Linked DNA regions of Arabidopsis thaliana. The protein of the gene in region 1 interacts with the protein of each later gene in a biochemical or structural test. Each region holds a gene or a part of one and is shown in the gene's direction. Other genes may lie near its edges.

What was found.
Region 2: the proteins of TON1B (region 1) and CEN2 form a complex in vitro, tested with the Arabidopsis thaliana proteins (one study listed by BioGRID).
Region 3: the proteins of TON1B (region 1) and CEN2 form a complex in vitro, tested with the Arabidopsis thaliana proteins (one study listed by BioGRID).

Annotation. Positions count from the first base shown.
Region 1 is NC_003074.8:20,379,112-20,390,159, forward strand, and holds TON1B (tonneau 1b (TON1b)), read left to right. Parts: upstream 1-4,784; 5' UTR 4,785-5,019; coding exon 5,020-5,106; intron 5,107-5,414; coding exon 5,415-5,547; intron 5,548-5,812; coding exon 5,813-5,901; intron 5,902-6,005; coding exon 6,006-6,128; intron 6,129-6,569; coding exon 6,570-6,694; intron 6,695-6,780; coding exon 6,781-6,951; intron 6,952-7,036; coding exon 7,037-7,082; 3' UTR 7,083-7,341; downstream 7,342-11,048. Other genes in the region: TON1A (tonneau family protein), read left to right, coding at 2,501-2,587, 2,781-2,913, 3,019-3,107, 3,210-3,332, 3,833-3,957, 4,051-4,076, 4,172-4,328, 4,424-4,466; PUR5 (phosphoribosylformylglycinamidine cyclo-ligase, chloroplast / phosphoribosyl-aminoimidazole synthetase / AIR synthase (PUR5)), read left to right, coding at 7,707-8,010, 8,097-8,191, 8,263-8,364, 8,448-8,507, 8,590-8,762, 8,836-8,938, 9,022-9,180, 9,265-9,438; AT3G55020 (Ypt/Rab-GAP domain of gyp1p superfamily protein), read right to left, coding at 10,067-10,180, 10,304-10,397, 10,536-10,660, 10,933-11,034. UniProt on the Arabidopsis thaliana protein: Involved in the control of the dynamic organization of the cortical cytoskeleton. May play a role in the organization of microtubule arrays at the centrosome through interaction with centrin 1 (CEN1).
Region 2 is NC_003074.8:18,669,988-18,679,834, forward strand, and holds CEN2 (centrin2), read left to right. Parts: upstream 1-4,149; 5' UTR 4,150-4,433; coding exon 4,434-4,436; intron 4,437-4,666; coding exon 4,667-4,821; intron 4,822-4,900; coding exon 4,901-4,928; intron 4,929-5,021; coding exon 5,022-5,174; intron 5,175-5,256; coding exon 5,257-5,359; intron 5,360-5,447; coding exon 5,448-5,515; 3' UTR 5,516-5,774; downstream 5,775-9,847. Other genes in the region: AT3G50350 (membrane insertase, putative (DUF1685)), read left to right, coding at 2,919-2,943, 3,096-3,512, 3,616-3,719; AT3G50370 (uncharacterized protein), read right to left, coding at 6,449-7,024, 7,112-7,758, 7,837-8,109, 8,196-8,394, 8,713-8,860, 8,957-9,147, 9,244-9,847. UniProt on the Arabidopsis thaliana protein: Potential calcium sensor.
Region 3 is NC_003075.7:17,440,061-17,450,091, forward strand, and holds CEN2 (centrin 2), read left to right. Parts: upstream 1-4,068; 5' UTR 4,069-4,254; coding exon 4,255-4,257; exon of another isoform or gene 4,258-4,351; coding exon 4,352-4,481; intron 4,482-4,558; coding exon 4,559-4,595; intron 4,596-4,683; coding exon 4,684-4,711; intron 4,712-4,817; coding exon 4,818-4,970; intron 4,971-5,075; coding exon 5,076-5,178; intron 5,179-5,258; coding exon 5,259-5,320; 3' UTR 5,321-5,555; downstream 5,556-10,031. Other genes in the region: HSF4 (heat shock factor 4), read left to right, coding at 600-818, 1,011-1,646; ACD2 (accelerated cell death 2 (ACD2)), read left to right, coding at 2,567-2,908, 3,085-3,702; AT4G37020 (initiation factor 4A-like protein), read left to right, coding at 5,718-5,770, 5,853-5,901, 5,991-6,128, 6,408-6,650, 6,745-6,784, 6,865-7,118; AT4G37022 (uncharacterized protein), read left to right, coding at 7,653-7,739, 7,804-7,840, 7,932-8,023, 8,101-8,184. UniProt on the Arabidopsis thaliana protein: Potential calcium sensor that binds calcium in vitro. Modulates homologous recombination and nucleotide excision repair (NER). Involved in the early response to UV irradiation.

The DNA of each region.
Region 1 (11,048 bases):
CCGTTCAATTTATCCAGATATGCAAGAAAATATTAGATTTTAAGGAATCGGCCTTTCCTTATTTGGTAAGACTAAATATCTCTGTTCATTCTAGTTCCAATAGGTAAAAGAGTAACCTTTTTTCTTACATTATTAATAACTTGCATTGCACAATAACGTATTACCCTATAATTCACAATGATAATGTGTTTTGAAGTCATCTACACACTTCAAAGTTTATTACTCAATCGAAAATTGAAATATTGTCTACCACTCAAATTTCTTGAAATGGTTAAAATACTTGAACGTGTACTATATGCAAAAATCTCTGATATTTAACTGCTTTGAAATTTTTATCAGAATATTACTAGTGATGGGTCAATTTCTTTGTTAACCTTGTGCTTTATGCACTTATGTTTATAGTCTCTATTTTCTACACCTAAACAACACAATCTATTTGTAGGTTGCAACTCGGACCCAAATTTTTTGCTAAATTTTTTGTTGAAGTCTTATATTAAGCTAGGATTGTGACTTAAAATATGAATAAAACTCATATTGTTGGCTTAAAAAACGAATTAGGATGTTTGTATTTAGTAGGAACATAGTGTTATGAAACCACATCTGATAAACACATGATTTTAAAGTGTTTTAAAAACTATTCTAGCTTCAAAACCAGTTTCTCATTCATCCCGAATCTTTTTTTCCATCACATATATAGTAAATTCATGATAGAATTTTAATTTAACCTAAATATATATAGTTCATAGTTGGTTATGTTCAATCGATTAGAAGGGTTCTGTTGGATCCGAATTCGAGACCTAGGAACTACACCATGATACATTTGGGGAAAATATGATATACGTTAGTAGGTCAAACACAAATATTATCTAAGATTAGCCTCCGGCCAGAAAATTATGGACTTTGTATGTGAGGGAGATTGAGAAGCGATTGCTAAGATTAATAAATATGGGGCTTGTTGGTAGAGTAGATCTATAAAAGGGGTGATAGAGAAACGAGTGGAAACGCATGAAGCACGTTATAAAATTGAATAATTGAAGATTCAACCATATTCTTTGATAATTGGTGGGCATTTTTATTTTATTATTTGTTGTCAAATCTCTATATAAAGAAAAAAAATTGTTTTAACGTTTTCGGTTTAATGTTTGACGCATATATGTGGGAACAGTTTTGGGCGACGTGGTAGCTTCCCCTCCTCGTTTCCCCCAAAAGCCAATGCTTAAAATGACGAGAATACCCTCTCCAAAAAACCATGTGCTCCTAAGTCCTGAACTAGTTCTGATTCTTTTCTTTTAGCTATATAGGGAAGTGAGACTTGCGAGGGTGAGTATGTGACATCAAAATGGAAAACACTAAGCTACATAACCGTTGGACTAAAATGGTAATAAAAAGAAGCAGAACAGAAGTAGGTGAATAAAACTGAGAATGGAAACAAGAAACAACTGAAGAAATCGGATTTATATACGTTTTTGATCATATTCTTTGGTTCAAACTCTATAAATAAGTTTCTTGGCTTCTTTCTTATAAGAAGAATCGACTACACTTTAAGTTAAAAGACCACAAGCAATACACAGTTACAAGAAGAAAGAAAAGTAGTTCCAAGTACTCTCTCTACTTTAAGTTATAAGATCACAAGCAATACATAGTATTTAATAATTAACACAAGAGTCGAGCTTGGACTTTCTTCTTTCTTGGGCCTTCTTCTATTCCGATTCATCCCATTGACAAACCCAAAGCGTTGGATACTCAAATGCTCATTCGTAAACACGTATCCTCATTAGCTTTTTCTTTCCCATTTTGCTTGAATGTAACTAATTAATTTGGTTTTTTTTTTAATTAGTAAGTGTAGTATGTCAATATTGTACAACTAGATGATACTGATCCATTAGAGTAACACTAAAGTTACCAAAGTTTCATACAACTCCAACGACAAGCAAGGTTAGGCCTTTCCATCCAATATTATAATCTAAGAAGGAGCGATTGCCCTTGATCTGACCCAACTTGCGAGTGGAAAATCTAATGCTTATTTGTTCATTCGTTTTCTGAGATTCTATATCAAATAATAGTCAGTCATCACTAGAAAATGCTCAAACAACTAATATGATTCATACACATTTCATATCATATGCTTGGCAATATTGGACCGAACTTCATGATTTTTCTGTCCATGAATGCAAATGTGTTGTGATCTCTGAGTTACATCTCAAAATGTGAACTTGACATCATATTCTCGTTCAAAAAAGGAAGATAAGACAAAACATTTAAGAAACATTTCACAATCATAGGGGGCAAAAGATCAAAATTTAAAATTTCGGACGAGAGTGGAAACTATCAATCTTTAAGGGGATGATTTGGCAAAAGTGTTGTTTTTATTTTTCTTTTACTGTTTTCGTTTTATCATCTTTCAACGTCTTTCTCTCCCGACGGCCAAAAACCCCAATTTTGCCAAATCCAATTTTACACCCAGAAACCCTAATTTTCCTTACTTTGATTTGATTTTGTGATGGACGATTATACAAGAGAGATGATGGATCTCAAGACTTTGGTCACTCGAACCCTAGAGAAGAAAGGTGTCCTCGCTAAGATCCGGGTAAATTCCCTCTACTTCTCTACCATACATTATTCGCAGAAATTTTTGAGTGGAAATGAGAACAGAGAAGTGATTCGTTTGAAATACATACATTACTCTTTTTCTAGGGTTCCTGCTATTCAGATCGAAATGCTCGATATTGTTAATTGCCTATGCATCTGGAATCTTGCTGATAGTTTATTTGTGTTTGTAGGCTGAGCTCCGTGCAAGTGTGTTTGAAGCAATTGAAGAAGAGGATAGAGTGATAGAGAACAATGAAGGACCGCCTCCAGCTCTGTTGGGAAGCTGTAATGATCGTGCAAGGAAGCTTCATGCTTCTCCTTCAGGTTTTTTCTTCACAAGTTTTTGCTTTTATCCTTTTAAATCTTTCCTCTATGAATGGTTTGGTTCTAAATGGCATCTCTTGGTTTGAAATTTTTGTTGAAATGCAGGAAGGTTACTATCTGCGTTGATTTGTGAATACTTGGACTGGGCACAACTTAATCACACGCTCATAGTTTATCAACCTGAAAGCAATTTGGTAATCAATATAATCCCGTTTTCTTTTGCTATGTTTCATTAAGAAGATTGTTGATGAATTTTTCTCACTAATCTGGTGAACTCCTGCAAAACCTATTCAAAGCCAAAAGATTCGTGGAAGTCTGAGTTACGCGACTTTAATAGCAACAATGGTTTTGAGCTCAATAGAAATGGAGATAGTGGACCACTCCTTCTCGATGTTCTTGAAGGGTTCTTGAAGTTTGAGGTATTTCTTTCTTTTTTTCCCCTGAAGATGTTTGCAGCCAAGTGTGAAACAGAACTTTACTATCTATAACTTCTTCTCTTAGTTTACAATCTTTACAACCATACTCTAAACAAATTACAATAGTCCACCTGTAGTATGTGTGATTTATGAGTTGTAGTGTTAACAGTTCCTATTATGTAAGTGAAGATGATCAATACTTTACACCCAAGCTTTACAAACACCAACTTACATAAAATCTTGGTACTCTGTCCTCGCAACCAAGAGAAGAAGTTATAGATAGTAAAATTCAGTTTTCCAAGAAAAATAAAGTCTCTTAGTAGAGATTAGAGTTCTTCAGAGATTTGAAAAACACGTTTAGCAAATTTCCTAGCCTCAAGTTCTCTTCACATCTAAGAATCATGTTTCCATCCTATCATAGTTAAAACCATTATCATCTGTTTTTGCCGTATGCTCCTCAGATGTAGTGATCAACTTTTTTTTGTAATGAATTTTTTCTTCAGAGCATGACGCAGGGCATGGGTAGTAGTTCAAGGAGAGATTCAGAAACAGAGTCGTCATCAAGCCTTGAGTCCAGAAATCCTCCTCGCAGATCATCTGCTTCTGATAGCTTACCTCCTCAACGAAGGTACACATATCTTCAACTTCTTATTATTATGCCAAATCAAAGATCGTTACTCTTCGACATGATTGCTTTATTTACCTTCAAATAAATGGGCAGGCCGGTTTCTGCATCTCAAGCATCGGGTGAGTCATCATTTCCCTAGTTTCTTGAAGTATTGGTTGAAATACGTATGCTTCATTATTTTTTGATACCAAATAAATATGACAAGATGTTACAGATAGAAGAGCCGGGTTGTCTACATCTGGGTACAGAAAAGATGAATTCAACTGGAGACAAGGTAACCAAGATACACATGAAGAGGTAACAAGAGCTTCAGCGGCGCTGGAAAATCTACAGCTTGATAGGAAAACTCGGAACTTAACATCGTCTTGGAGGTAAGCTTTCAAGGAAGTCTCATTGAATCCCACATTGAAATGAAAACAAAGCAAGTTGTGGTAAATCTGATCCATCGGGCTTGCTTGTGTTGTAGGAATGTGAGGGATGGAACAAATGAAGAAGAAGGGAGAGATTGATTTAGGCTTTGGATAAACATTTCAGCTTCTGGATTAGTAGAGTAATGGTTTGTGTACGTGATATATGTATGTTTCTCCTTTATTTGCAACTGCGTTTTCAATTAGCCTTTTTTTTAACGCACGAACCTCTGTCTCCTTGAGAACAAAAAACATGAAACAGTAAAATGTTTTCTTTTGAGATTTGTTATGGGAAGAGAAGAGTTCAGAAAGAAGAATCAAAGAAAGCACAATGTGGTTGAATATTTTCATTCACTTGCTTCTTATTTTAGTGTCTCCAAAATTATTATGTCTCTAGTAATAAACAAGGTTTTTGAATGATGTGTTCACTGTTTGTTTTACTCGTACTTTTTTTTTGTTTTCCCTTTAGTCTTCTCTCTCTCTCTCGCTTCTTCGTTTAAAACTTTAAACTAAAGTATCGAAGAAGCCAACTCTGGATGACGCAAAAGCTTCTCTCAGAACGGCATTGTAGAATTCTCCGGTGACCAAATAATCCGATTGCATTAGTAGGGAATCTGTTATTTTGATCTGATCCGTCAAATTGGCGGTAAGAACAATGGACGATTATACAAGAGAGATGATGGATCTCAAGACCTTAGTCACTCGAACCCTAGAGAAGAAAGGTGTTCTCGCTAAGATCCGGGTATATTTGTTTTTCTCTTGCCACGATTCCTCTGGTTCTGTGACATACTTCATTCAAATTCCGTAGAGAGATTTGAGTACAGAGAAGAAGAGAAAACATACATTGCTTTTCTAGGGTTCGTGCTTCCAGATCTACTTTATGCATCTGGAATCATGTGAATTCCCAGTTTTTGTCGTACTTTGAAATTGAGTCTGTGAAAAAATTGTACCTTCTCAGCTGAATTGGATTCTTTAACATTTGGTTTGGAGATTGAAGATTTGTTTTTTTTTCTCTATATTCTTCTGCTGAAATTTTAGTTGTTTCTGTAGGCTGAACTCCGTGCAAGTGTGTTTGAGGCAATCGAAGAAGAGGATAGAGTGATAGAGAACAATGAAGGACTGCCTCCAGCTTTGTTGGGAAGCTGCAATGATCGTGCAAGGCAGCTTCATGCTTCTCCTTCAGGTCTTTCTCAATTTTTATCCTTCATATCTTCTCTTCACTTTTACCCTTCAGAGACCTTTTCTCTTTGAATGGTATGGTTCTAAATGGCATGTCTTGGTTTGGAAATGCTTTCTTGATACTTAGATATATTCGCTTGTTCGAAATGTGTCTCCTTGTTTTTTTCGGGTGAAACTTTGCTTGCTTCTATTCTTAGGCGATATGAACATTGAGATTTTGTGTAGTTGAGTAGGTCATCTTGATCACTTTATAAAATGTTAAAATGCAGGCAGGTTGCTATCTGCATTGATTTGTGAATATTTGGACTGGGCGCAATTAAATCACACGCTTAAAGTTTATCAACCAGAATGCAATTCGGTAATCAATATATTTCATTTTCTTTGAACTTCTGATATTTCTTTTAAGTACGTTGAAGATGAACTTTCTAACTGATGCTGTGATCCCTGAAAACCTATGCAAAGGCAAAAGATTCTTGGAAGTCTGAGATACGTGACTTTAGTATCAACAATGGTTATGAGCTCAACAGAAATGAAGATAGTAGACCGCTTCTTCTGGATGTTCTTGAAGGATTCTTGAAGTTCGAGGTATTTCTTCTGCTTTCTCTCTGAAGATGTTTACACATACAGTATAGCTTTTTTTTTTTTCTCTGTTTACAAGCTTTACAACCATATTTGTTACACATTACAATAGTCCAGCTATGGTACATGATTTCAGGGCGTTAATGTTTACAGTTCCTCTATTCTCTAAGTGAAGATGACCAATACCTGTTGGTTACATCGAAGCTTTACAATTACCAAATTAGTTCAAATCTTGTTACATTGTGCTCACGACCTCACATTTTTTCCAAGTAAATAAAGTGTCTTACTCAAGAAAAGAATTTTTCAGAGCTTTGAATAAGTTCGGTGAATTCCAAGCCTACAATTCTTGTCACACCCAGGGATTATGTTTCCATCCTCTTGTAGTAAAACCATTATAATTTGTCTGCTGTATTCACCTCATATTTAGTGATCAACATTTTTCTTCAGAACATGACGCAGGTCATGGGTGGTAGTTCAAGGAGAGAGTCAGAAACCGAGTCGTCATTAAGCCTTGACACCAGAAATCCTCCTCGCAGATCATCTGCTTCTGATAGCTTACCTCATCAACGACGGTAAATCCAACTCCATGTTCTACCAAATCAACGATCTTTAATCTTCCATGTTGCTTATGAGTCTGACATGCTTAATTAATGGGCAGGTCGGTTTCTGCATCTCAAGCATCGGGAGCCGCTACCTCAGGGTACAGAAAAGACGAGAGCAATTGGAGATATGACACTGAAGATATGCCGGAAGAAGTCATGAGAGCCTCAACAGCACTTGAAAATCTTCAGCTAGACAGGAAAACTCGGAACCTAACATCGTCTTGGAGGTAACTTGGAGCGTCATGGCTCTTACCTTACAAGTCGGATAGAACTGAAAAATAATCTAATCCATTGGTTTTGGTTGTGGTTCAGGAATGTGAAGGATGGAACAAGTGAAGAAGAAGAAGGGAAAGATTGATAAGGCTTTCGTTAAAATCCAGCTTGTGAATTAGTATCTCTACATATATATGTGTGTTTCTTTTTTCATGTATGGTTTTAAATGTTGCAACTTTGTTTCTTAAGTTTTTCGTTTGTCGTGTTTGAGAAATCCGATTGGAAGTAAAGATTATTGATATAAGATGTCAACTACAATTAAGCCGTTAACACAAACTCAAAAACTTTCATAAAAATTCTCAAATATTAGTGTCATTAAAAAAGCATTGTTAATCTGAGGACTGTATACATTCCAAAGAATTATCATTTCCCAAATTTATTTAAAATAATTTTATGATATCTAATCCTAAATCTTTTTGTTGAGGAAAAAAAACAAAAAAACAAGTAAACCTTGTTTAGGTTTATTAGGGTTTTAAAAGTATTTATATTTGTTTTCTGCTGCAGCAGACTCAAAAAGCTAAGTAAACTACTCAAGTCCCTCCCTTTTCCGGCGTCGCTATTCTCAGTCTCATTCTGTCTCCCGTAAGTCCTAACTAAGCTTTCTCTCTTCAGTCTTCAGCCTCCGCCCGTTATTGTTGACAAGTTTTAGCCTTTTTGTTAATTACTACTTTACTACTCTTGTTGTGAATTTGCTGCTACTGTTGAAGCCATGGAAGCTCGGATTTTGCAGTCTTCTTCTTCCTGTTATTCGTCTCTTTACGCTGTCAATCGATCCCGGTTCTCTTCTGTGTCATCTCCGAAACCTTTCTCCGTCAGCTTTGCTCAGACGACGAGAACAAGGACTCGTGTATTATCCATGTCGAAGAAAGATGGTCGCACTGATAAAGATGATGACACTGATAGTCTCAATTACAAAGATTCTGGTGTTGATATCGATGCTGGTGCTGAGCTTGTTAAACGAATCGCAAAGATGGCTCCTGGAATTGGTGGATTTGGTGGTCTCTTTCCATTAGGTATATATATATATATGGAAAACTGCAAAATTTTCACCTGAATGTTGAAACTTTTGGTCTTCTAATGAATGAGTGTGTGTGAGCAGGTGATAGTTATCTTGTAGCTGGTACGGATGGTGTAGGGACTAAATTGAAATTGGCATTTGAAACTGGAATTCATGACACCATTGGAATCGACTTGGTATAGCAAATTCTCTTTTGTGTGTTTTGTGATACTAGCCCATAAACTCATGGTTTAGCTTATTGTTATAGGTTGCTATGAGTGTGAATGATATTATTACTTCTGGTGCAAAGCCTCTGTTTTTCCTTGATTACTTTGCTACTAGTCGTCTTGATGTAGACCTTGCTGAAAAGGTACCATTGCTTCATCATCTCTTTCCCCTTTTGAATTTGAGATTGCTTTAAGGACTTGATATTGATGTATGCTTTGTTGTCAGGTCATTAAAGGGATTGTTGAAGGTTGTCGGCAATCGGAATGTGCTCTCTTAGGGGGAGAGGTATGTGTTACGGTTTTGACAATGTAGTTTACGCATCTTTCCATGATTGTGTATCAATTTGGTTTTGTTTTGTTTTTTTTAGACTGCAGAGATGCCTGACTTTTATGCAGAGGGCGAGTACGATCTAAGTGGGTTTGCAGTAGGCATAGTAAAGAAAACTTCAGTTATCAACGGAAAAAACATTGTGGCCGGTGATGTTCTTATTGGCCTCCCGTCTAGTGGTGTTCATTCCAATGGTTTTTCTCTAGTAAGAAGGTAAAGAGTTAGCGATAGTCGAGGTTTTAAGCTTCTGATTTCATGGCTTTTAACCACATTCCAATTGTTGCAGGGTATTGGCTCGAAGCAATCTTTCGCTGAAGGATGCGCTTCCAGGTGGATCAAGTACCCTTGGTGATGCTCTAATGGCACCCACTGTCATTTACGTGAAACAGGTTGGTTTTCTTGTCAACAAATATTCATTCCATCATCACATTTGTAACAACTCTATGACTTTCTCTCTCTCTGTTATTCGAAGGTACTTGATATGATAGAAAAAGGAGGAGTGAAAGGTTTAGCTCATATCACAGGCGGAGGTTTCACAGACAACATTCCCCGAGTCTTCCCGGACGGTTTGGGTGCTGTTATTCACACCGATGCTTGGGAACTTCCACCGTTGTTCAAGTGGATTCAACAGGTAATGAATGAGGAGAGAATCATAAACAGAACGATTACGTTTATACTTCTAGAATGTTTGATTGTTTTTTGGTTTATTGTATAGACTGGGAGAATAGAAGACAGTGAGATGAGAAGGACGTTTAACCTGGGGATAGGGATGGTTATGGTGGTTAGTCCAGAGGCAGCTTCACGAATACTAGAAGAAGTCAAGAATGGAGACTATGTTGCGTATCGCGTAGGAGAGGTTGTCAACGGTGAAGGCGTAAGCTATCAGTAGAGTGTTGTGTGTTCTTTTTTCTTCTGTGTTTTTTTAAGTTTTCGTTTCCCACCGTTTTTAAGAATTAATCCATTTGTCTACGGTTTTATGAGGTTACAATCGAGATGAGGCATTTTTTAAGACGTCGTGTTATTATTTGATCTAATTTTTTAAAAACAACCAATGTGATTGGTCTGGTTTATTCTCTTTGTCGCACAAACAGATGTTGAAAGATATTCTCGTTCTAATTATATAAAATTTAAACATGTTGTTTGCCTAGATGGTATGGGTTAAGAAGCTAATTGTCAAGAAAAAACAAATGTTGTAGGAAGAATTCTTCATAAAATTCATATATTATAAAACTGAGGGTATCCAAGAGAATCATTTACTTACTAGCTTAGAGATTAATGAACTATATACACCATTTATGTCTTGTATGTATCCCATCACCTTAAAATGAATATATTTATAGCAGCATACCACAAACAAACAAATGAATGTATTTAAAAGTTCTCCCAAAATTCAATCCGGAATTATGAAAAAAGGGTGACTGAGAGAACTGAGAAGCTATTGAGACTACACGTAGGACGATTTAGCTACTACGATTTGAAGATGGAAGTGGAAAAGAGAGCTTCAAGGTTGATTATACCTAGGAAATGTCTTGGACCTTAGTTTCCGTTGGTTCAGAGTTAGTCTCTTTTGCCTCTGTTGATGATTGCTTCTCGTCATTAACATGCTCCGGAGATTTTTCAGGTGTTGTGTTCTGCAAATTGCGGGTCAGTTTGTATACATAACTAGGAGAAACTATTTGGTTTTAAAGACAATTTTGAGGTGTTTCTTGGGTGAAGCCGTCTCTATATATGTTTTGTGTAAGAAGAAGATTTACCTTGTTCTTGTCGCGCCACCCTAGTCCAAATGGCCGTGCTAGCAAACTGATCCTGCTTGGAGGAGGTTCTGGTGACGAATCTTGGTTAACTTGCCTGGAAGGTTAAAAAAATATGTATATATATACCCAATTCAGAATACACAAGGGTGGGTCATTAGTCATAACCCAATTGAGTGTTTATAGTTGTGTACACAATTTATGTTTTGAGTTGACTCAGGTAAAAAGAACACACCGTGGTGAAGGTTGTGCTTTGAGTTGGCCAGATTGATACTGCAAAGTTGCCTCGAGCATGGACTCTGCCATCACTGCTCTCTTCTCCATTTCAGCCAGTGCAGCAACAGCTTCCTCGTATTTTTCCTAGACCAGTTATCATATTCGTTACAGAAACGATCTAAGATAGAACAGGAGAATACAAAAAAAGGAAAAGGATATAAAGTTGCATTCAAATCACGCAGCTCTGAAATACAGACAAGGGTTAATACAGGATTTACAGAGATTATGGTCCTAAACTAATGTGTAACTCTACTCCATGGAAGGCGAGTAACGACCTATAACAAGAGGCAGTTAAAGCTCTTTTAAACTTAATAGCCTAGCCACATCTGTGTTAGGAGTCAGATCAAACTTTTTACCTGCAAGACTTGAGCAGCATATCTCTGCGCTTCTGCATCCTGCTCAGCAAATATTCGTGCATCTTCTGTTACCTTCTGTTCTTGCTCCACCCGCATCAAGACCTTCATACATATCA
Region 2 (9,847 bases), 1.7 Mb from region 1:
TCAATTTGGTCCAACAGCTTTGGTTTGGTTCAATGTCTTCGTAACAAAAATGTCAAAATCTCTTGTTGTCATGGGTTGGTTTTCGTAATTGGTCGTTTTACTTGTTGGGTGATGATGTTAAGAAAAATTAGGACGCTTACGCTTGTTTTATAATATTTGTACGTTCAATAATTGAAAAGAAACCATCAAATAATAAATATAATATTCTTATTTCAATAATACCACTAACGAAATCAAAACCAAAATAATAACTTTACTAGCTAGCAGTATCTAGGATTTTTTCTCAATAATTTTAAGTTTAAACCAATTCACATTTATCTTTGTAACAATTAACAAATATAGTAAAGTTTTTATAACATGCTAATAAAAATGGGTGAACCAAAAAATAGTTATATAAAATTATGTGTAAACATGTTAATTAATATATATTTTAAAACATCAATTTTGATAATTAAGTATTTTTTTTGGTTAAAACAATGATGATTTTATCGCATTTGAAGGTGATCCACTGGAATATAATATATCAAACTACACAAAGATGGCCTTTATTATCTCGATGATAAACTAGTTATGAATTTTATAATATATCATAACTAATACAATTATTATAGTTTTTAGTGAAACAAATTCAAAGTGGGTAAAAAGCTCCCCCATGTGCTTAATACCTTATTAGTTATTACCTTCTACAATAACCTATTTTACGAATAATTAAGAGAACATGTAGACCATATCAAATATGCATAATGCACATATATCAAGTTGCCATTAAATCTTTTTTGACCGATATTCACAACAAACACACTAGTACTATACCACTCCTGTTCTTATAAAATAGAAAAACAATCTAGCACTGATAGTAGCCCAAATTCAATTATAAGTCTAGTGAGAATAGATAAAAAAAAAACGCATAAAATATACGTCCATTTACTAATCGAATGAATGTAAACACTTTACTAACAACCGAGATAATGTATATCTGACCAAAAATCAGTTGTTTGTATGGTTGCTAAGTAAGAATTCATAACAACCGAGATAAACAACTCTATCAAATGTACTTCGTTTCATCAAATTACTAATCGAAACTTCGAAACCTATTATAATAAAAAAGACGATTCTAGTTAAAGTATGAGAAACCTTTTTTAAGACATAAAGTATGATAACCTTTTTTCCTTAATTCGCGACCTCCTTTTCATAAACCATTCGCCTTTTGATAAATATATTATCCATAAAAGTAAGCACTCGTGTGGTCGATATCTCATGTCTGTTCTTTACAAATGGATTCTTGTTAGGTTTTAGGGTGGCTATAAAGCTATACCATCGTAGAAGCGTGCGTGCGATGGCGAAGGATAAAGTGAGTTTCGATCATTGTATTCTTCATTATTTTGAATTTGATTAATTTTGTTTTTTGTATGTTCCATAAGATTCACCAAATTAAAGTGATTTTGCAGGTCTGCGTATTTCTTTCACTGTTTTTATTAAGCAGATTAAATATTTAGTCCATATTTCTAAAATTCTGTTTATGTATAGAAATTGTAAACTTTTGGGACATGCCATGATACGTTTAATAGATCAAGTTTAATTATATTGTGGAATACGTCAAGAGCTTACATAAAGGATTGTTTTAGTAGTATACCATATATGTGGTAATATCGCAGGTCCGATCCGAATGGTAACAGTAACGTAAATAGTGTAAAATGGGAAAGAGAACATAACAAGGTCTTGCTAGTGAATTAGAATATACAATTTACGTTGAACAAACGGTACACATAAATGAAACAAAAGTTGAATAGTGATCATATCAGAATATCAGATCAATAATGTATAAACAATATCAAATTTTAACTATTTTAATGATCGAAACAATTCTTATAACAAACTTAATTCGTATGACTGTTTTCGATCTTTTGATGATATATATTTTCAAAGGAAGTTGTCATTGTCAACTTGCAATTCAACAGTTTCTAATTTTGGGTGCTGTTGAAACCCAACTACCACATTTTGATGTATTTAAAACATTATACTATGCATCTTTCTGATACAAAAATGTATATCATTAATATGTATTAGAATTCTTAGAACATGCCTATATATCCAATATAGCTCATCAAACACTAACGAGTATAAAGACCATCCACTCCACCACCACATTAAGTTTTTGACTTAATGATCATCGGCTATGTTGTTGTGGTCCAACATAAAGAGTCTGCCGAGTTTGGTTTCACTGTCTAAATTGGAACCGTTTTTGGTTCAACAACTAGTTCACGCAGTAAAGTATCACTTAAATACAGTTAGTTCAACCGGCCATAAAAAAGTTTGTTCTCGTACATATGGATATTATTGATTTACACATTGAGAATATCTACCCATCTATTATTAACAATTAAGCTTGACCTAGAGAAATTCTGATGTAGATTTTTCTGATTATCTTCTCATGGTTAGGAACCAAACCTTACCTTGTTTCTCTACTCGAATCAATCTCTTTATTAGCTTATGTATGGTTTAGTGTTCTCTAACCAAACCAAGAAAAGGATTGGTTTAGTGTTAACATACTGTATTACTAAGTACATAGTTATTGGGCTATAAGAAGCTAACTGGGCCACAAATCCAGAATCCCAATATAAGTCAATGTACATCGTTTGCTAAAATCTAAAAACGGTATCTTTAATCTCAGAAAGGACATTATACAAAGATGATGATGTTACACATAAGGTCGTTTATCTACATCAACTTCAACCCACTAGTTCTTCATATTACATAAAGTCTCATAAAAGCGATTTCGTATCGAACTTTTACTCATAAAATTCCCTTATTCTATGATTAAAAAGGAAGAAATTCCAAAGTTTTATAGTATTTTTATGCAATGCCAACTTGTGTTGCTTCGTAATTCCAGGTACATTACATAATTTAATAAAATTAAAATGAACCAATCAAAAACAAATCCAGGTCATCATCATGACTTGGGCCGGCCCAATATCCCTGAGTCGGCAACACTCTCTCTCTCTCTTCCATTCCTTTATAACTAATCTTCAACTAACTTTTCTCTTCCCCCTAACTTTTTTCACCCAAATATTTCGACTTAATTACCAAAAAACCAGCCATTGATCGTAAAACCTTTCCACCACCGCACACCCCCTCGCCGGGGGTAGTGCGTCGCATACACGCGCCACCGTTACCTTCTACTTCTCTCTTGAAGCAACACTCGTGGTCTCCTGATCTAATCCGCGAGGAAGCTTGGTCAAAACGTCAAGATATCTCCCGCCACCGTCATCTCCGCCGTGGTAAGAGCTTGACCGACGAAGATCTCGACGAGCTTAAAGCAAGTTTCGAACTCGGATTCGGTTTCGGATCTCCCGAAAACGCTGATCCAAGACTTTCCAACACGCTTCCCGCGTTAGAACTTTACTTCGCCGTTCAAAAAAGCTACAACGACGCCGTTTCTAACAAATCAACAACGTCGTCGTCTTCACTCTCCGACGGCGATACCAGTCCTCACCACACCGTATACCAAACCAGTATGTATAAACATACACACACACACATATATACACATACACGATTATAAATTTATAATGATCAAATTTCATTTGAATAGGTGATGATCCGCAAACGGTGAAGACGAAGCTGAAGCAATGGGCGAGAGTGGTGGCGTGCACCGTGAACCAATCGCCGCCGAGATGATAATTTTAACGACTGTTAAACGTTGTGGGGATAAAGGTTAATCCGGAACAGGGTATGTAAATTGAGACGCCAAACAGTCGGTGGAGTCCAGTCAGCGTTGTAATATTACACACACAATAGTAAAATACTAATATATGTTGGACCCAACTTGTTTATAAGTTATATTGTTTATTGTATAATGCATGATTTGATTTGATTTATCTTCTTTTAGTATGTGATATATAATTTTATATATGCAACAGAACACAATTTGCAAAAGTATATTCTCAGATTCTATTGTCTGACTTTTGTCCATGGGAGAGTGGTGTTGGCTTCTCTTATATTCGTTGCTAAGCTTGATAAAGGATTATGCAAATTCACGTGAATTTGCATATAGTGATTAATTCAGATTAACTGATCTCTTTCAGATCAAAATCTTTGTAGCGTAACTTATATATATTATAACTTTTGAAAAGAAGAAAAAAATTATGGCCGAAGAAACGATCGAAATAGTGAGAAAATAGAGAAAGTGTAGGGAACGATGAGGGAGTAAGTAACACATCTGTGTTTTGTCTGATTGTCTGATTAAGAACTACACATAGCAGATCTGTGTTTTGTTATGGGCCTTCACTATTAGGCCCATCTGACCCATATCGTTACCGCTTTTTAGTATGGAAAAGCAACAACAATGTAAAGGAAAGCAGAAACGTTAGATTTCTTTAGACGCGCAAACTGAAAGAGCTTTGATCGATCGATTTGGAGGATTCGTAGAAGATATGGTTCGTTCTTACCTTTGATTCTGTCTTTATTTTTTTTATGTTTAGAGATTAGCAATTTCTAAGGATCTCTAGATAACAATTTTGCATGATGGATTTTTTTTTTTAAGATCTGATTTGTATTTAGCGAATGTTAGAATGAAGAAATTAGGGTTCCATGATTGAAGAAGATTTTAGACGAAACCCTTTAGTGTTAGAGCTGAGATTTTGAATTTTGGATGTTATTATTGCAGTCGAGTATATACAGAACTGTTTCGAGAAAAGAGAAACCGAGACGTCATCATGGATTGACGACACAGAAGAAGCAAGAGATTAAGGAAGCTTTTGAGCTATTTGACACTGATGGTTCTGGTACCATTGATGCTAAAGAGCTTAATGTTGCTATGAGGTAATATCGAGAGCTTTATATCTTTCTGTCTTTGTTTTATGGTTTTGGAATTGATTCTTGATATTATCATTTGTGATAGGGCGCTTGGTTTTGAAATGACGGAAGAGGTATTATTATTTCTTTCGTTTTTTCGGTTTTTTCCGCTAAGATTCGTTGTTTATATCTATGGTTCTGATACCTTGATGTATTTGGTATTGAAGCAAATCAACAAAATGATAGCTGATGTGGATAAAGATGGAAGTGGAGCTATAGATTTTGATGAGTTTGTTCATATGATGACTGCTAAGATTGGTGAAAGAGACACAAAAGAAGAGCTCACTAAAGCATTCCAGATCATTGATCTTGACAAAAATGTATTTACTCATAACTTAGTTAGTTACTTCATTTGATCTTAATTTTTCTAGAAGCTAAACTATTTTTCTTCCAAATTTTCAGGGGAAGATATCTCCGGATGATATCAAACGCATGGCAAAGGACTTGGGTGAGAATTTCACTGATGCTGAGATACGAGAGATGGTTGAAGAAGCAGACCGAGACCGTAAGTGTCCTAAACCTTTTTTCTCATTCTCTTGTGGCACAATGCTTGGTTTGACTAAAGATATATGATACATTACTGAAAACTGCAGGTGATGGTGAAGTTAACATGGATGAATTCATGAGGATGATGAGGAGAACTGCTTATGGTGGTAACTAGAAAGGTTGTTGCTGTTCTTAACGATATTTGATGAGCTCTATTATAGTTCTTTAACTGAGGCTTAATTATCTGTAATATTATTACTGAAGATACATATATCACAGTTTTAATCTATAGCTCATCTTAATGGCAAGTCTTGGTCTGTCTTTGTATCATTATAAGATGTATAAATTGGCAAAATATTCGTAGTCTTAGTGAAAAACTTTAGGAGCTCGCATTGGTTACTTCATAAGTCGTCAAGATTTGGACCTCTGCGCACATCATCATCTAGAAAAAGATATTAGATTTGTCTTGTCATAATACCCTGTTGCATTAAAGTTGTCGATTCATCATTTTTTCTTTCACAAAAAGTGGTACCATTTTATGTCAACCATAAGTTGTAAAGTTACACAACTGTGGAAACTTCACTTACATAACATATCCGACCTTTGAAAGCTTACATCAATGGATTCCAAAAAGAAAAAAAGATCCATTGATCATAACAAAGCATTTTCCTTAGGCAAAGTTTCCAAGTTAGCTTAAAACTTTAAAAGTTGTCGATTCATTGCACAAGGGTTTTGAAACAAAAAAGTAAAGCATAAAAAATTAATTCAATAAGAGTGTGTACTGATTTGTAGAAGCTATAAAGATAATGTTGACAACAGATACATTGGGGCCGTGAATTGGGTATTCTACACCGAAAACCTCACGACAATATTTTTACCAACCATGACGAAATTAAGCATTACCAAAGTCCCCATATAATGAATCCCCAAACGAGTAAAGAGAACAAAATCTAATTATCTAACGAGGATAAAAAGAAGAAAAAAAGGAAGCTAACTGATATATGGGAAAATTGAAAGGAAAAAAAGTCCAAATCTTCTTATGAAGCCAAAGCTGGTTGGGTTATTGGGATGAGTTTATATCTGAACGGACCTGGATGGTGAAGAATCATCAAATTGAGGGGGAAGTGGTGGTGGTAGTAGAGGAAGCAGAGGCACAGCTGTTACCAGTCTGCTTAGCCACATAGATTTGCTTGACCTTTGGGTTATTCGGAAAGCCTCTCTCTCTGGCCATGGGTTGGTTTCTGCCATGGTAGCCCGATCTCCGGTTTTGATGGTGCTGGTGTTGGTGGTGGTGGCTGGGCCCACCAACATGCTGAGACTGCGTGTTCTTCTCCTGAGAAGATTGTTGTTGTTGTTGTTGTGGTGGCTTGAAGCCAGGACCATTTGGATTCTGAGTGTTGTTGCTGTTGGGATCAGATAACGTGGAGGTGGGCTTTGCTGGTGGAGCACCAGTGGTGGAACTGTAAGCGTTTGAGGAGTCCACCATTGCGTCTACAACTGTGGATGCTTGAACGTTGGGATATCTGTTAGGAGGAGGAGGAGGAAGCATGTTGTTGTTAAACTGAGGTGATGGAAGATTGGAGCCATCTGTTCCTTCCTGCTGTTTCTGCATTTGCATCGTTGGAGGACCCGAAAATGGCATGTAAGGCCACCGTGCTCGAATAGGCATCTCCTGAGAAGAAGACTGACCCACACCATAAAATAAATATTAAGTCGATGGATTCTTCTACTAGTTAGCATTATTGGAAATCATAATGATGGGATCCAATACCTGGAAAGGAGATGGATCAAACATTGGCATAGGAAGGTGCTGAAGAGACGCAGGTACAATGTTACATTGCATGGAAGCCACATTAGGATTGTTTACATCACCATCTCCTCCAACCGGAGAAGAAGATACGTTTGGGTTGTGTTTCCAATCTGGTTGCTTTCCAGATGGGATGTAAGTTGTTCCCATGAAACTCAACCCTCCAAACTGTCCAACAGGTGCAAAGTGGTTATAAACAAACATGTGAGGAGGTCCCTGAACGCCAGGAATAGCACCGGGTGGGGTTAGAAAAGGACCCGTGAAACCGGCAGGAGGGGCATAGAAGGAATCTACTCCAGAATGACCCTGCTGCTGCCAGGTCGTAGGTGGACCAGATACTGTTACTGGACCTTTCTGGGACTGTGATTGGGTTGCTCCTGCGTCATGGTGCGGGCCAAAAGCAAAAATGGGTCCTCTTAACATGGGATTCACATCATAGAAAGGGTAATGAGGAGGGCCTGGAGGGAAGTGAGTGATCATTTGGTTTGAGTTGTGTGGACTTGGTAATTGTGGCCACAGAGAGATTGGGGTGTCCACTGAAAGATCTGCTGGTAGAGAAACAATGAGAGATTCCTCAGCTTTTGATCGACTAGTCTGCCCACCAACAGTACCTGCCAAAGCAAAAGAAATTACTTCAGACAACAAACAACCATTTGGGAATGCATAAACCCTACAGAAAGCAAATATACCACTTGCTGCCCCATCATCTAACTCTGTTCCTCCATAAATTTTGGTTTCAACAGGTAATACAGAGCCAGTACTCAAGGCATTCCCACTGGTTTCATCATTAGTTATGGCTGCCACAGCAATAGCTGAAGCAGCAGCTTCTGCTTCTGCTTCACAAATCTCTATGCCAGTGGATGATGGATTTCGATGTTTGTTATCTTTTTCAAAATATAAAGAGCTATCCTTCTCTGTACGCCCACCACAGGGAGGGATAACAGTGGAAGATGTAACTGCACCTAAAAGAGAAAGAAAGATCCATCATTTAAATGCAACGACGAGCCAGTTCAAAGTAATAATCAAGGTATCTAGTCAACCAGCTCACCAAATTGAATTTTGCCCTCAGCAAGCAATGAATTTATTGGACTTGTGCTGCTTGAAAAAGTATTGTTCTTTGGCACAACAGACGTTGATGTCGAATTTGACTCGCTAATTCGGTTGGCACCATTCTCAACAGAAACACATGAAAGATGAGATACGGGTTTCATGGCTTCATCAAGCTGACTCTGGGTTAGGGCCATAACCTACAAGGTAATATGAAAAGGCTTCAGATATTTGCATAGGCGTGATTCATAACTAGTAGAGCATGAGTCATAAACTATTTTGATTATTATCCACTATGACTTTCTCTGTCCTCAATTCTTACTGCTTTCTGTTTTCAGTAAACCATTCTATCAATTCATATAAAGTGACTATGAGATGCGGCTTAAAACACAACCGTTTTAGATGACATTGGAAAGGTAAGCAAGAATCTTGCAGATACATTTTTTGGATTGTCCGTTTTCGATTTTTGTAGAAACTTGAACCAAGTCAAAAAAACCATGAACAATATATATACTCACCGGCTGATAGGTGAGTTGGTTACCCCAAGTCCCCACAGGTGTATGACTGTTATCGAGAACCTTATTTTTGTTGCTGAATACAAAACCTGACGCTGGATTCTGATCATTTTTGGGTATAACTGGAAGAGCACTACTTTCCTGAGTGGACCTGCAAAATGAAATAGAAGGTAAGAACATAAGCAGAGGGGAGCTATCTCTACAAACACACTTAAAGCATTTCAATTGATCAAATAATGGAATGTACTTGTTGCTCCCAGATTTTTCATCAACATGGGAATCTATTTTAGGTGAAGGTGTGCCAATTGGGGCTAACGTCTGTCTGTTGGAGACTGGATTAAACTGCTTATTGTTCGCAGCTCGGCTAGCTGGTGGGCTTCTGTTGGACCTGGCTGCAGTAGTATTGTTCTGGAAAGTTGAACGAGGTTTTCGGAATGCCTACAAGAAAACAAATTCACTTTTAGTGAGAATTACCTCAGAATAGGTAACAATTCACAAGTAGAAGAACACTAGAGTTTTAGATTGCATCAGAACCTTGGCTGCCTGAGACTTCTCTTTAATTTCCTTTTCTCTCTGTTCACGGCGATCATTAAGCATTTGCCTTTTTGATCTTACCTCAATAAAATCATCATCGTCACTAGGAGCTTCAATACCTTGTTGCTCAAAGACACGAACAATTCCAATCTGCAAAGGTGCATCAATTTCCTTTTCAGATACCATATTCCTTTTAAGGTTTGCTTGTCCAGAATTTGGACTGAGTGGATTCTTCACGACAGCATCTTTCCCAAGTCTATTCTCAAATGAACCCCCACTAACTGTTTTCTGCATAGCATTCAAACCGGACGCTGAGCTGTCTAAGGCTTGTTTCTGGGACTTGTTGGACACAACATATTTTCTACTCCCAATTTTTGTAGAAGTTTGTGCCCTTCCATTTCCATTTCGATTTTCATCGGAAGATGGCCAGTTTGATTCCCGAACTCTAAATTCAACCCTCTGACGACGATATCTTCTATTACCACCAGAATCTACCCGAGAAACCTCAGCAGTACCAGATGAGCGCAAGCCAGAATTTCTTACTGCACTTGTGTCAGTTTGGACTTGGTATCCTGATTGTCTTTCAGCAAAATTTGATTTTCCA
Region 3 (10,031 bases), on another chromosome or scaffold:
AAAAGTAGAACATAATTCAAAAGATAAGACTTTTTAGACTTTTTTAACAATATTTTTGATGGATAAAAATTATTCAAAAGAGAAGAAAGTAAGAAGAAAAGATGTTTCTGAGAATTTCTAGAAACAGCATCCGTTTTTATAATTTAATTTTCTTACAAAGGTAGGACCAACATTTGTGATCTATAAATCTTCCTACTACGTTATATAGAGACCCTTCGACATAACACTTAACTCGTTTATATATTTGTTTTACTTGTTTTGCACATACACACAAAAATAAAAAAGACTTTATATTTATTTACTTTTTAATCACACGGATTAGCTCCGGCGAAGTATGGTCGTCGTCTTCATCTTCTTCCTCCATCATCAGATTTTTCCTTAAATGGAAGAAACCAAACGAAACTCCGATCTTCTCCGTTCTCGTGTTTTCCTCTCTGGCTTTTATTGCTGGGATTGGGAATTTCTCACCGCTCTCTTGCTTTTTAGTTGCTGATTCTTTTTCCTTCGACTTTCTATTTCCAATCTTTCTTCTTCTCTTTGTGTATTAGATTATTTTTAGTTTTATTTTTCTGTGGTAAAATAAAAAAAGTTCGCCGGAGATGACGGCTGTGACGGCGGCGCAAAGATCAGTTCCGGCGCCGTTTTTAAGCAAAACGTATCAGCTAGTTGATGATCATAGCACAGACGACGTCGTTTCATGGAACGAAGAAGGAACAGCTTTTGTCGTGTGGAAAACAGCAGAGTTTGCTAAAGATCTTCTTCCTCAATACTTCAAGCATAATAATTTCTCAAGCTTCATTCGTCAGCTCAACACTTACGTGAGTTTCACTCTAACGAAAACTCATTTACTCTCAATTTAATGCTTCATTTAATTCGTTTGGTGAATTGAATCATTCTTTTGTAGTTGGTTAGCCAATTTCGTAATTTTCTCATAATTTGGGGGTTGGTGAGAAAACCTTCTAGAAGCTGAGAATGTTCTTGTTCTTTTTTTTTTTTTTTTTTTGGTTTAGGGATTTCGTAAAACTGTACCGGATAAATGGGAATTTGCAAACGATTATTTCCGGAGAGGCGGGGAGGATCTGTTGACGGACATACGACGGCGTAAATCGGTGATTGCTTCAACGGCGGGGAAATGTGTTGTTGTTGGTTCGCCTTCTGAGTCTAATTCTGGTGGTGGTGATGATCACGGTTCAAGCTCCACGTCATCACCCGGTTCGTCGAAGAATCCTGGTTCGGTGGAGAACATGGTTGCTGATTTATCAGGAGAGAACGAGAAGCTTAAACGTGAAAACAATAACTTGAGCTCGGAGCTCGCGGCGGCGAAGAAGCAGCGCGATGAGCTAGTGACGTTCTTGACGGGTCATCTGAAAGTAAGACCGGAACAAATCGATAAAATGATCAAAGGAGGGAAATTTAAACCGGTGGAGTCTGACGAAGAGAGTGAGTGCGAAGGTTGCGACGGCGGCGGAGGAGCAGAGGAGGGGGTAGGTGAAGGATTGAAATTGTTTGGGGTGTGGTTGAAAGGAGAGAGAAAAAAGAGGGACCGGGATGAAAAGAATTATGTGGTGAGTGGGTCCCGTATGACGGAAATAAAGAACGTGGACTTTCACGCGCCGTTGTGGAAAAGCAGCAAAGTCTGCAACTAAAAAAAGAGTAGAAGACTGTTCAAACCAGCGTGTGACACGTCATCGACGACGACGAAAAAAATGATTTAAAAAACTATTTTTTTCCGTAAGGAAGAAAAGTTATTTTTATGTTTTAAAAAGGTGAAGAAGGTCCAGAAGGATCAACGCAAATATATAAATGGATTTTCATGTATTATATAATTTAATTAGTGTATTAAGAAAATAAAACAGATGTTGAAGTTTTATTGTTGCTTAATTTATGTCTTCATAATGTAAAAAAGCATGTGAAATACTTGGTCTAAGGTCATCTACTTAGTTGAAAACTTGTGAAAGAGGAAGAAATTTTACTTTTATGTTTGATTGATTTTCTTTGCAAGTAGTAGTAGGTGGTTTCCGTGTTTTTACGTAATCCGTTGAATATTTTTCCCTCGAAATTGTCTTTATAAAAGTCACAGAAACATTTTCTAGAACTCTTTATCAGGAAAATAAAAATAAAGATGTCTTCAAGGAATCGAAAAAATACAGCAATATACTAAATAGAAAATGCTATGAAATTAAATAAAAATTTAGTAAGGTTCCAAAGACACTACTTAACTAGAGAGAAAAATAATTCCAACTAGCTCTACAACAAACAAATCATTTACTTGTTTAAGAATCGAAAAATTTAGAAATTTATTCTTATTATTTGTTTGCCCAATTAAGTCGCTCTTGGCCCAATACTTGCATCACTTGATTGAGTAGAAGAAGATCACTTACCAACTCTCAAACCATTTAAAAATTAAAAAGCATAGTTTATTTTATTTAAATATGTGTATGTAATAATTCACCACAAGAAATATATTACAAACCACAAAACTATAATCCCGGTAAAATAGTAATTAATTTCTTCAAAAGTGTAAATAAAAAAGAAGAGACATAATTTAGTCATAGCCACATAAAAAATGGCGATGATATTTTGCAACACTCTCTACTCTTCTTCTTCTCCATCATATCTCTCGCCGTTAACTTCAAAACCGTCGCGATTCTCAAAGAATCTCAGACCTCGAGCTCAATTCCAGTCCATGGAAGACCACGACGATCACCTCCGCCGAAAATTTATGGAGTTCCCGTATGTGTCACCCACGCGGAAGCAGCTCATGGTTGATCTCATGTCGACGGTGGAGAATCGCCTCCAATCACAACTCCTTCCCTGTAACCTCCCTCCAGATGTACGAAACTTCAATAACCCTAACGGTTCCGCCGAAGCATCTCTTCATATCAGATCCGGCGACAAATCTTCTCCGGTACTTGCGACGATTAACTCTGTTTTTCAGTTATGAGATCGAAATTGACTGTTTTGCATGCTTGTTTTAGAGCTCAATTGCTTGATTTTAAGTAGAAACAGACTTCAATTTCGATGTAAATCATAACCCTAAAAAAAAACTTTTTAGAGAATCTTAAAGTTTGTTTTGTTTTGCAGATTGATTTTGTTATAGGAAGTTGGATACATTGCAAGATCCCAACAGGAGTATCTTTGAATATAACAAGCATCTCTGGATTCTTAAACTCATCAACAAAAGCTCCAAACTTTGTGGTCGAACTAATACAGAGCAGTTCCAAGTCGCTTGTGCTAATCCTTGACCTCCCACATCGTAAAGATCTTGTTCTTAACCCGGATTATCTCAAGGAGTATTACCAAGACACTGCTCTTGATTCTCATCGACAATCTCTCCTTAAGCTACCTGAAGTTAACCCTTATGTGTCTCCTTCTCTCTTTGTCCGTTCTGCTTTCTCTCCTACTGCTTCGATGCTTAAGATTGATGCGGAGGAAGAGGATAAGTTGGAGGAGATATTGAGAGATCATGTTAGTCCAGCTGCTAAGGAGGTTCTCGAGGTTTGGTTGGAGCGGTGTGTGAAGGAAGAAGAAGAGAAGATTGTGGTTGGGGAAGAAGAGAGAATGGAGTTGGAGAGAAGAGATAAAAGCTTTAGAAGGAAGAGCATAGAGGACGATTTGGATTTGCAGTTTCCGAGAATGTTTGGTGAAGAAGTTTCCTCCCGTGTTGTACACGCTATTAAAGAAGCTTTCGGTGTTCTCTAGATTATGTAACTATATATATACATCAGTTAATGTTCATTGTACTAAACATTTACTTTCATCAATGTCACAAGAACGCAAGATGACCATCAAACAAGTCCTGTTTTCTCCTAAGAACGTCTTTGTTGTGAATCATCTCTGAATCGGATTCCTTCTGATTCATTTTAATACTATGGGATTGTAAATTTATCAATCAAGTTTCTAATTTATCTGTAAAAAAAAGTCTTGAATTATTGTTTTTCTCATGGATTTTAAAGTTTTTTTTTCACTATTTTACATGGATGTTTTGTTAAATTTCTCGTTCTCTAGATCATGTCATTTTACATTAGCAAAACCAATATAATATATAGATTAATATTAACGAAGGAACATAAACGTGCAAAACTAAAAGTTTTAAAGCTAAATCGCTTTCAAAAGAGTTAGTAACCAGACAAAAAAGAGACAGATCATCGGCAACTAATCTCGTCATCGCATGCATCATAAACCAAATTAACTAAATCATCCATTTAATCCATTTGTTCTTATCAGATCATCCTTTTCCTTCCTACACAAGAAATGGTTAGTGTTTTCTTTTCTCGATTGTCTCTTAGTTTAGATTCTTTATCCGACTACTTTGTTCATCGGTTTTGTTTTTCTTTTTGTCTTCCGGAAGGCGAATTACATGTCGGAAGCAGCACAGCTCAGAAGAGGTCTAAAGCCTAAAGGGAAGACTTATGGGTTGACCAATCAGAAGAGACGAGAGATCAGAGAGATCTTTGATCTTTTCGACATAGACGGTTCAGGTAAACTATTAAACCGATTCTTTATCCGATTTACAAAGTTATTGCTCACATGATTTAGTGCATCATTTCATATGTAGGTAGCATCGATGCTAGCGAGCTCAACGTTGCTATGAGGTCAACGGCAATTTTTCTTTCTTTTTCAAAGTTATTTTCTTCAAGTTCTAGTTAAGTATAGTACTAAAAAATTATCAGCTGATTACAGGTCTCTTGGATTTGAGATGAATAATCAGGTTTGTTTGTTTTCCTTCCTTTTTTCTTCTTTGTTTTAATTTCATGGTTTAGATCATTGTACGTAGAACCAACTTGTATTTAGTTTGGTCATGTTCATTGTTGCAGCAAATAAACGAATTGATGGCAGAAGTAGATAAAAACCAAAGTGGAGCCATAGATTTCGACGAATTTGTGCATATGATGACAACCAAATTCGGAGAACGAGACTCCATAGACGAATTGTCTAAGGCGTTTAAGATCATTGACCACGACAATAATGTGAATAAATCTAAACCTGTCATTATTTCATTCTTTTTAATATTATCTTTTTTTGTTTGGATTGATTTCATTGTGTTTGACTGGACAACTTTTGGAATGTTTTAGGGGAAGATTTCACCTCGTGATATAAAGATGATTGCTAAAGAATTGGGAGAAAATTTCACAGATAATGATATAGAAGAAATGATCGAAGAAGCAGACCGTGACAGTAAGCAAAAACACATAATAATTTTGCGTTTTATCTATAATCGGTCCCTCAAGTTCATGTTTTTGCCTTAACCTACGCAGAAGATGGAGAAGTTAACTTGGAGGAGTTCATGAAGATGATGAAGAGAACCTCTTACGGCTAAGTATAAATCAATTAGTAATGGTTGTGAATAATATTTGTTAATCACCTTGATTTATAATAATAAAGAAGTTTGATTTGTGGCTTGGTCGAATAAAAATGTATTGTTGTATAAAAATAATAATGTAATTCACATCCATTATTTTGAATATGTAAATGTCCTTGAACGAACATTTGTTTTATCATTTTTTATGTATAAATGTCTTTGACCAAAAAATAAATTATGTAAAATATGAACCAGAAACGATGTTGTTTAGATCTGATACTTACATATAACCAAACGACGACGTTGCTAGAGTAATAAATCTCAAAAGACTGGAAACGACTGCGTATAAGTCCGTGACCTGGTTACCGGAGCGTAACTTCTCCGGCGAATTGGACAATTTTGAGAAAGACGGATTATGGACTCCATGGAAGCTCCATCTCTACCATTTCAATCTCCCTCTCGTTCCAGGTTTTAATTTTGAGTTTATAAGGATTATCTCATACCTTCTAACAAAAACCCTAAAAACCCAATTTGTTTTTTTGGTTTGCAGTCAACAATTGCATTTCTACCTCGCCGTGGATCGTCCCCAATTCAAAATGGTAAGTAAATTGTATCAATATTCCTTGTAATTTCTCATCAAGACTGAGATTCTGAATCGCAAATTTCGAAACTTTGGATGTGGGCACAGGAGACTGTAGTGGAATTATTAGGCGTTCTAGGTCGTCGTCCATGGCTTCCGATTGTAGTCTGTTGCAGCTCTCGTGACGAACTTGACGCCGTCTGTTCTTCCTTATCCACTCTTCCTTACATTTCCTTAGCCGCTTTGGTATCTCTCTCTCTTCTTCTCTTTAACTTTCATAGCTGAGGCATGTTTCTTCTTAGTCTTCTCTTTGGTATTTGATTTGAAAAGACCCTTCTTGTTGATTCACTTGCTTGGTTCATCATGATTTGAGTTCATTGTCTTTCATTGTTTGATTGATATCATCGGTTTTTTATATCCGTTTGTTATTGTTCTTGTTGTACCACTTTCTTGTTCATCATGGTATTAACTTACATGTTCTTCCCACTAGGTTATGTTTATGTTCAACGTCTTTTGTGTCTACAGTACAGCGATCTAGCAGATAGAGAACGAGCTATGGTTATAGAGAAATTCAGGCAAGCAACAATCAACTGGAACCAGCAACTTAACTCTGTGGTAGAAGAAGGTTTGGAAGAGAGTGAAAACGGAAAAGAAGAAAAGACATCTCATTTGGTAGTTGTGACCGATGTTTGCCTTCCGTTACTCTCATCAGGAGAATCTTCTCTATCCGCACGCGTTCTCATAAACTACGAGCTTCCTACAAAGAAGGTTGGTTGGTATTTTTCTTAATCAATCTGCAATTGTCAAGTCAAAATGTCCAGAACCTTCCTCTTATTCACTACTTGTAATGACCATGTTTCAGGAAACATATACAAGGCGTATAACAACTTGCTTAGCTTCAGGTTCTTTTTTTTTTCTTTCAAAACAAACTCTTTTTGTTCATCAAACAATGTCACTTAACATTTGAGACTTTTCTCTTAAGGTGGAATAGTCATAAACATGGTTGTTGGAGGTGAAGTAACGACTCTCAAAAGCCTCGAAGAAAGCAGTGGCATACTCATCGCTGAGATGCCAATCAATGTATACAGTAGAACCAATCAATCAAAGAAAAAGCAAGAAACATTCTGCTGTTTTTATCTTAGGTTAATGACTTCAAATGTGCTTTCTTATTGCAGATTTCTGAAATCTTATAACAACACATGGATCTCCGATCTGAAGAATTCTAAATGGGGTTAATGGCTCTTAAGCCTTTTGAAGGACTAGAGGAGATGAATGGTGGATTGATAACGCTTTATTTGTTTGATTGTATCCAGATGTCTCTTGACCATTGCGCTCAAATCATCAAAGCCAAACTTATTGTAAAACCAGTTTCTTTTTTTCTTATATTATTAAAGAATGTTGAAACGAAAGAAAGTTTTGTTCTTTCTCTTGTGTATATTATCAACATACATGTACATCAAATTGCAATTTTCTTTTGTAGCTCCCTACTAGTTAACCTATGGTTTAGTACGTAATTACCAAATCATTAAGTGAAAAAGGAAACAACGCATAAGAGTTTTTTTTTAAAAAGTACCGTTACGCTGAACCCTAATCACATGTGGAAAAAGGAAAAAGGAAACAAGAGAAAAAAGGAAATCCCTAACACATCATTAATGTTTATAGAATAGCCTCATCGTTTAAGTATCTTCGATCGATCATCACAAACAAAAACCTAGAGAAACAAGAAATACAGAGAGAGAGAGGGCTATAGATTGAGAAATACGCAATTTCATGCTCTCTGATTTCTCCGATATCGGATTCTCTTCTTCGTTTAGAATCATTACGCTAGCCGATGGATTCGGTTCTGTTCGCTTAGCCGTTACGAAGATTTTGCGAAGACTTGGGTGATAAAAACGGCAATTGACGACGGAGATGGCGATAGAGAGGGAAGATTGATGAGGATTCATCGGAGATTATTGGTGAGTAACCGTTGGTTATCGTTGACTGGTCAAACCTCTTCGTTAGCCGTTACGCTCCAAATTTTTCACACTTTGATTTGTTGATTTGCAGTCGCTCTTCGACAAACCGAACGAGAAACGAACGTGATGGAAGATGATGTTGATGACTCTTCTTCGACCAAGATGAGCCCTTTCTGGAGAATCGTTCCAAAAATTACAGCGATCGAGATGAGTGACGATCCAGAAGTTAAAGAATGATTACGTGTCGCCGGTATTTCAAGCTTCAAAGTCATGATGATGGAGCTTCAATCCGGCGAGGAGCTGCAATCGACGACGGCGGTGGCGATACAGAGAGAGAAGATTGAGGAGTGGCTTATACGTTTCCGGTGGAGGTTTGCGATGCAGAGAGACGTGGTGGCGTTAGATTCATGACATCAACGAAGCCCTTTTGCCTAACAAAGCCCACCTAAAGGAACAAAAATTTCAGCCCATAAAAAAGGTCAATTTCTATCCAATCTTCTTTTTTCTTTTTTTTTTTCAAAAAATTAGCAGCTTTTCGAATATTTATACTTTAAAGTCACAAAAAAAGATTTTGAAATTTTTTGTTTTTTTTTGTTGTTACGGATTTTAAGAAACTTGGATACTAAATTTATATAATGATAGGAAATCTAACCGGATTTTGGATCCAGCATTAGTCGTTAGCGATTCCAAATATTCAACTTGTTTTTTCTATTATTATATAGATTAACATTCAAGTTTTTAATTCGGATTTTTATAAGTCGTTTTTACATTTTGATTTTGTTTATTTTTTGGATTTTAAAAACCGTTTTTGTATTTGTTTTTTTAATATTTTATTTGCTTAGATTTTAAATTTATATAATGATAGAAAATCTAAACGGATTTTGTATCCAGCATTAGTCGTTAGTGATTCCAAACATTCAATTTAGGCCTGGGCAAAAAAACTGCTAACCGATTAACCGAACCGAACCGAAAAACATGGTTCGGTTCGGGTTTGGATAGCTTAAAATAACCGGCTGGATATTATATGTCTTAGATTTCGGTTTCGGTTTCGGTTAGGTTAGTAACCGATAACCAAAGGATAACCAAAGCATATATGTATGATAGATAATATATCACATATATTGTATGTATTGACACTTAACTATGTTCTTCTCTTTATTAGTTTGCAAGTTGAATTTTGTGAGTTGTGAATCAGGTGTTTTAATATTATGGAGAGTATGGACCATATTTGCATCTTTCTGAGTTGTGAATATGTCTTTTTTTTACGTACGTTCTATATCGGTTATTGGTCAATTTTTTTGGTTGTTTCGGTTTTTAGTCGGTTATTTCGGTTTTGGTTTATTTATGGTTACCAAGTTTAATATCCGAACCGTTCCTCAAATATCCAAATGGTTCTTATATTACTATAAGTGAAATAACCGAAATCATGCGCAACCGAACCGAAACTGAATGGTTAACCGAATGCCCAGGCCTAATTCAACTTGTTTTTCCTATTATTATGTAGATTTAGCATTCCAGTTTTTAATTTTGAATTTTTAAAAGTTGTTTTCCATATTTTGTTTTTTTTTTTCCGGATTTTAAAAACCTTTTTTGTGTTTGTTTTTTTTTTTAAATTTATTTGCTTGAATTTTAAATTTATATAATGATAGGAAATCTAACCAAATTTTGGATTCAACATTAATCGCGATTTCAGACATTCAACATTTATTTCCTATTATTATGTAGATTTAATATTCAAGTTTTTGATTCAGATTTTTATAACGAGCATCTTTGCAAATGCCCACAAAGGACCTTTTATGTTTACAAAATTAAATTTTAAATTTAAGGGAAATTTACAAAACTAGCCTTTTTTTACTATCTTTTGCATTAATACCCTATTGTGTTGTCCATTTTTAAAAATACCCCTTCCATTGAACAGAATGACCAAATTACCCTCATCTAATAGGAATATTTAATTGGAAACTGAAATTTTCCCGCCAAATTTTCTTTTTCCCGCTAAAAAAATATTCCGCCAAACTTTTTCCCGCCAAAAAAAAGTTCGTGACAAATTTTTTTTCAGCAAAAGAAATGCTTTTAAAAATCCTTGTAAATTTTTTTTGGCGGGAAATAGATTTACAAGGGATTTTAAATGATTTCAAAGATTTATAAGAGATTTTAAAAGGGTTCAAAAATATTTACAAGAAATTTTAAA